Canis lupus familiaris: one gene and its partner. The protein of the gene in region 2 interacts with the protein of the main gene of each other region in a biochemical or structural test. Links are inferred from orthologs where the notes say so. Each region holds a gene or a part of one and is shown on either strand. Other genes may lie near its edges. The genes, in order: ZMYND11 and ETS2.

Region 1 (3,818 bases), on a different chromosome or scaffold from region 2:
AATCAACAAGACAGGAAACAGCAGGTGTTGGCGAGGATGGAAAGAAAGAGGAACCCTCTTGCACCGTGGGGAGGACTGCAAATTGGTGCAGCTACTGTGGAAACCAGTATGGAGGGTCCTCAAGAAGTTAAAAATAGAGCTACCCTCCGACCCCCACAATCTCCCTACCGGGGTATCTGCCCAAAGTAAGTGAAATTGGGATGCTGCAAAGATGTGAGCAGCCCCACGCTCACTGCCGCACGTGCAGCAAAGCACGGCCTCCGCGTCCACCAGGGCATGGGTGAAGAAAGATGATGATGAGTGGAGTACTGTCTGTCCCCGAGAAAGAAGAAACCCTGGAGCTGCGACAAGCTGGAGACACACAGAGTGTTGGCAGTGATGGGCGCCGCAGGGCGGTACTGACGTGGGGGACGAGGCAGGGAAGCAGACCCACCAGCAGGGCTTCAGCAGTCTCACGGCTGGGGAATGCTAGACGAGCAGCGTTCCCTTTCCCTATTACAGCCTTCTCCTCTCATTTCTTTGATTCCTCAGTAACCTTATAAGTCTAGGGCCCACTTTCTAGCTTTCTCTTGTCTTTGCATGAGACAGAATGACAGGGCGCCAGGGCCTGGCGCGGGGGATTATCTGGAGTACACCTTAATTCCTGTCTAGCGGTATTTATCTCGTTACTCATCTGCTTTTCCTATCAAGTTCTGAATTAGATGCTAAGTTCCCTTTTCTTTCTCTATCACGGTATTTGTAGTGGTCACTTTCCTGAGGGAACACCTACTGGACGTGGAAAGACCTGCTTCAGAAAAGGTAGTCTGGATCCCATGAAGACTCACAAACGTTTCCCCCACCAGTTAGCTGAGATGTGGTCCGAGCTCCCAATCTAGGGAAGAGCCGCCAACAGGACATGGTGAGAAAGGAACCGTGTGTCAGATTCTACGTGGAGTCAGAGGCTCATGAGACGTCACCATCGAATAGTAAATCGAGTGAAAAGACTAACATATAAACGCTGTGCAGCATGATCTGAAAATCCTTAATTTGCTGTCGCGACTGCTGACACCAGGTTCCAGAGACTGAGCCCTGGCCATGAGGAGTCAGCAGGCCAACCTCAGGGGACGGCGCGTGCATGGATGTAGTCCCGTAAATCAGACACAGTAACTACACGTCTGAGGGTTCACAGACTCAGCGAAGTAATCCTGAGCGGTACTCAGTACGGGGGTCCTGGAGCTCACCGGGGAGAGGACTTCTAGTAAAAATATAAAACCCATCTAGAGCTGATCATTTCACATTTGAGCTTATTTCAGGTATAAACTTGGCATAACCACGTAGGTCTCTCTGAGGTGACTTGCATCGCAGACCATTTCACCACCATGACACTGGGTGGAACATGTTCATGGGTCACACTCTGAGAACAAACCGTACTTACCCACTGCTTCTTCTTGGTCTGAGAAATCAGTTGTTTGTGCTGTGTTGCTAGCTTCTTGATTTCTTCTACAAATTCTTCTTTACACTTCTCCTTTACTTGCTTACATTTCCTGTCCATCTCACCCTGCATATTGGCTACAGCTTTATTTACAGCTTGACGCTTCTCTTCCTCCATTTCGGAGCGCAGCTGGAATGAGAACATTAGCTCGTGACTGGCCCGCCCGCGATGCACACACCTCACTCCACAGTTCCTACGGAAAGGGGGGACCCCCTCCCTGTGTTTCATTGAGAGCAGTACACGTCTTAGGTGAAGGAAAACAAGGTTTACTAGCAATCAAACGTTATAAAAGGTATTATATGATGGTTCTAGTTTTAAAAAGGAGCTGCCTGGCTGATGCCCAAGAGAAGCTGCCTACGCACTACCGGAGCGCTCCCGTCACGCTCAGGGTTCTCCAGGTGGCCTTACCTTTTCCAGAGCTTCTCGCACAACTCTTTCCGTTTCTCGTTTGTGGTCAGACTTCATTCGGTCTTTAAAGTCATTGAAAATCTTGGTGTATTTGTCGTGGCACATGCTTTGACACACTCCGTCGCTGGTGGTCTGGGTGCTTCGATGCAGCATTCGTGGTGAAGAGGCACTTAACTTCTTGGTCTGAGTTGACACAGACACCTTTTCGATTGGCTGAGGCATGGTGGGGATCTCCTGGCTGGAACTCACGGCTTCCGTTTCCGGCTCTGGTTCCTGCAGAGCAAGGACAGTGCTGAGACGCGACACGAAGCCGCCTGTTAGTAGTCCTGGTTCCAGAACGAGCTCTAGGAGGATAAAACTAGGGTAATGAACTACTGTTAAAAAACATGTAATTGAGATGGTCAATTGTGTCATGTGTAGTTTACCACAACTAAACCAAAAACAAAAAAAAAGCCCCCAAAACTTCTCGCAATGAATAGCAAGAATTTAAAACAGGAACTTCATTTTGTGGCATATGAACACTACAGTCTTTGCTTTCCAGACAGACGAAAGAAAAATACCATATAAGACGTAAAACCCTTATCAATTTAGTCGCTGCTGTGGACCAGATTCATTAACAGATGTCCTGAGCATGGGTCACCAGATGAGTACCTGGTTTTAGAGCATGGACATACAACTTTGAGAGGCGGAGCGTAGCCACACTTTCCTCCAGTTTTTCAACGTTGACCTAACTGAAGGATCGGGTAAATGCTCCGCTTCTCATAATGCTGAGTAACTAGGAGAGCTCCAGGAAGTGCAGCAAAGCGCCCTCCCCGTGCGACGCAGACTCCAGGTTGGTGCGTGTTCTTCTGGCACTGCGGGCGGGCGGGCAGACGGTGGGGTTCCAGCTGGGCCGAGGGTATGGACGGCACCCCTGGGGCGGACCGTCGTGACCGCGACAGGGAGGCACTTCCTACAGCCGCCCACCTGGACACTGCAGGGCGGGCAACTTACTTCCTTTTTGGGTTCCACACTTTGATTACGTCGTCCTTTCTTTGCTCTTGGTTCTTGCGTGACCTTTAGCTGCGGGCATCACACAAGTAAGAGCGTGTTACTGCAGACACTACAGACAACAGTGAGCAACCTGTTCCCTCCTGTGCTCAGCTCCCCCAAATCCTTGCAGCCTCGGCCCTGGTGGGCTCGGGACCAGGCTGCGGGTGGCCCGTGGGTGGGTTTTGTACCAACGTTTGTAGAAGGGAAGGGCACGTCAACTGTGTGCACAGCCGCCTCTCACAGGGACACCCACCTGCTCATTACTGGTAGACGAGATGCTGGACTCCGCCTCCTCCTCTCCCCGGTCCTCGTTCTTGGACTTCCAGAACCTCCCTTCACGAAGGAAGCGCTGATGCAGCTCTAGCTCGTCACAAGCCTTCTTCCAGCCCATGCTGCGCTTCACGTGCAGCCGGTGAACGTTGACTGTGATGTCCTGTATGTTTTCAGAAGGGATCCATGCCCTTCAAGGAACACCAGAGGCACAGTTAGAAATTTCCGGAACGCTAGTAGACTCTATCCAGTACAAAGTAGGACCTGGGGCGATTCCTCGCCCCGAGGCTGTGGGGGACGGCTGCAACGCAGACGCTCACCGAGGAGAAAGCAGTGAGGACGGTCAGAACCGGAGCGGGAGAGACTGGCCAACGCACCGGCCCCACTGTGGGCTCTGGGCTCCGGGCAGCCCAGCCACAGCCCCCGCGGCTCCCGGCCCTCCTGCTGCAGAGGCACGCACACCTGGCTGGGGCGGAGGCCGGCAGAGCCGAGCGTACACACAGATCCGTACAAGCAGCAGGGCCCCGACACCGTGACCCACCACATAGCGGCTCCAGCACGTCGTTGTCTCCCAGGCACCCTGACTGACACAGAGGCGCCCGTCATCACGGCCAGGAACCCGCTGCGGGCAACACAG
Region 2 (3,036 bases):
GGCAGATGCTCAACCACTGAGCCCTAAAATGTGTTCTAATTTCTCATATGGTGAACACTGATGACCAGTGGTATTCTAGTAAATGTTTAAGAACCAGCTCCTGAGGGGGCTTGAGGGAAGCCTGATTTATATAGGGCCTGCTGATTTTCATGGATTAAATATAAATACTCTTATTACACCATCACATTCAAGGTACCAATATGTCACTGATACAAAGTTGGGAAGGGACCTGTTCTCACCCGCCTGTGGGGAGGGACTCCAGCACACCTCTGATATAACCCACCTGTTTGCTGGCATCCTGATGGACTCTGAAGTGTGTTTGAGAACCCATCTCCGAGGACCATCACTCTCACCTCTTGGTAAGTCAGCTCAGCCATGTCAGGCATCCTGAAGAAAGTCCTTGAAGTTCGAATGCTAACGGGGTTCCTCACATAAGCATCCTACAAACTCTTCTGTTATCTCTGCCAATCCCCCAACAAAGACAAGGTGCCTGTATCTTTCTATTCTAATCCCCCCCCCTTTTTTTTTTTTAAATTCTAATCCCTTCTTAAAGAATTTTTTGATTTAAGGGAACACTTTTTGGGGTCCTTAAGAAAGAGCTATAGTTGGTTGTAGCTTGGTCATGATTTACTAGGTGACCTGTGTGTAAAATTGGCTAAATGGACAGTGGATCAGGGTTCACTATCCTCACTCCACCTCCCCTCCTCCCTGTTGGGGTGGGATGAATGAGGATTCTTACAAGGAAGCATTTATATAAACAAAATACTTTATTATTTGAGAAAGAAAAGGCCAGATTACAAAATCTTTATACTGAAGTCTGTTCATTACCACACCAAAGGTTTATAATGGGCTTTAGTTTCTGTAACTATTAGGTTGAACCACATGAAACTGCCAACTTTGTAGATAAAAAAAGTCAAATATTGGCAATTTCATGTGGTTCAACCCCATATAAAATGAGCCAATGGCTAAGATTCCCTTTGGCAGCAAGATGTTCCCAGTCACATGTCTGTTGATGTTATAAACAGATGTCTGAGTGATAAACATGTCCTGCTTGAGAAAAACATCCTGTGCTTAGACCCTGGAAATGGTCTCGTGTAGGTACTGAGCGACTGGTCCCCCAGCTCCGGGGTTGCTCTTCTCAGCAGGCCCCGCCACCCAGCTTCTCAGCCTTATTACACAGATGGCCTCTCCTCTAGGGACACCAGCCCCTGCTCCGAGTGCCCTCCCACATTGCAGGTGAAGCCCGTCTGGCTCTGAAACCAGGATGACTTGATCATTTCCAAGCATCCCGAATGCACGCCCACCCAGGGGGCTCCTTCGAAACCACCATGAAAATTCTCCATCGTGAGCAAAACGTTTTTCTCACATCAAATCCTCCAGTGGATTCTCTTTCCCATCTTGCTTGTCCTCTCTCTGCCTCTGGGCATTCTGCATCCACGAAAACAAGAACACGGAGCTGTGGGTACTGCGCATACAGGAGTAGCATCGTGTCCGGACAGCCCACGATTCGCCAGGTGAGCAAGGACAGGACAAGTCGGGTTTTGCTCACGACCTCTCCGTGAAGATCACCCTCCCGCCTCCCACCTGCCCTAGGCTTCAGCTCCCAGTACAATATGTTTAACTTCACACGGGACGCAGATAAAAATAAAGCTTTCTTACAAATTACATTTTTTTCCAGTGAATTACTTCTGCAGTAAAAGTAGCTGCTACATAAATCCCTCCTGCTCTCTGAAAAGGAGCCACATTATTTCCAAAAATAGCATTCTTATTTTAATCATACAGAATAATTTGGGGCGCGGAGGTGGAACCCGGGAAGGAAATGGCTGGTCGGGGAGGTTAGTTGTTGGGGAAACACAGTCGAACTAAAAAATAAAATAAGTTTTGTGTAGAAACGGATTTAAAGGCATGCACGGAAATGGAATACATATGCCATTTGTCAAGAAAAATACTGCTTTATAGCTTTTACATTACAATTAAGGAGAAAGCAGAGGCGAGATGCGCCTCCAGATAATAACATTAAGTGTTTTTATAAAAATTCCCAAATGTACAAAGTCCTTGCCAGATAATAATCTGGGCAAAACAAAACAGAAACAGGGACTGACCCTGTTAGACGTATACCTGTAGGCATATCAAATGTAAATAATACAGACTTTACAACTTCTTCGTCTGGCCTGGCAGACTGTTTGCAAAACGCTGCTGGTGCTCTTGGAAACCGCAGTGAACACCGGACGTCTGCGTTCTCATTTCAAATACATTTGCAGAATTATTTTAAATTACAATATACAGTTCTCGTTAAATAGGACTCTGAGAGGATTCTGACAACAATTATTAGGGTTACAGTCATATATACAAACTAACTTCTGAAATGGCACGCCTGGCTGAACCAAAGAGACCACTTCTGCCTTTGTGATTCCTGGCTGCCAAAGGCAAAAAAAAAGGCAACAAACAACAACAACAACAACAACAAAAAAACGTGTGCCCGAGGCATGCTCGCTCGCTCCTTTGGAGAATATCCAACGGCCTGAAGGTTCCTGCCGCGCGGCCTGCTCGGAGCCAGGACGGCTTCCCAGCGCTTCCTTCTCGGCCATTCTAAGAGCATCATAAATAGTGTGTTCCCGTCAGCAGGCTTTAGAAGTGGGAAACCATGCTGCTTTGGGTGAAAAAGCGCGGTTTCCGAGGAAATAAGGCCACTGCTTCGTGGGGACTTTCCTGGACGCGTGCGATCCCGCCTTTCAGGGTCCTTGGAGCAGTCGGTGGGTCGGGGGGCTGCCGGCGCAGCACAGGGGGGGCCTCAGTCCTCCGTGTCCGGCTGGACGCCCAGGATGGCATGCAGTTCCTCGGGGGTGAACCCCAGCAAGTTCTGGAGGTCGCACACGAAGCGGTACACGTAGCGCTTCCCCGACGTCTTGTGGATGATGTTCTTGTCGTAGTAATAGCGCAAGCCGCGGCTCAGCTTCTCGTAGTTCATCTTGGGCTTGTTTTTCCTCTTTCCCCACCGGCGGGCCACCTGGACGGACACGGGTGGAAAGCGTCCAA

Evidence for each region.
Region 1: the proteins of ETS2 (region 2) and ZMYND11 form a complex in vitro, tested with the Homo sapiens proteins (2 studies listed by BioGRID). The link is inferred for Canis lupus familiaris from reciprocal best matches to the Homo sapiens genes ETS2 and ZMYND11.

What each region holds. Positions count from the first base shown.
Region 1 is NC_049223.1:33,552,279-33,556,096, forward strand, and holds part of ZMYND11 (zinc finger MYND domain-containing protein 11), read right to left. Parts: intron 3,373-3,818; coding exon 3,165-3,372; intron 2,942-3,164; coding exon 2,873-2,941; intron 2,153-2,872; coding exon 1,880-2,152; intron 1,601-1,879; coding exon 1,415-1,600; intron 1-1,414. UniProt on the Homo sapiens protein: Chromatin reader that specifically recognizes and binds histone H3.3 trimethylated at 'Lys-36' (H3.3K36me3) and regulates RNA polymerase II elongation. Does not bind other histone H3 subtypes (H3.1 or H3.2).
Region 2 is NC_049252.1:33,537,948-33,540,983, reverse strand, and holds the end of ETS2 (protein C-ets-2), read right to left. Parts: intron 3,008-3,036; coding exon 2,792-3,007; 3' UTR 749-2,791; downstream 1-748. UniProt on the Homo sapiens protein: Transcription factor activating transcription. Binds specifically the DNA GGAA/T core motif (Ets-binding site or EBS) in gene promoters and stimulates transcription.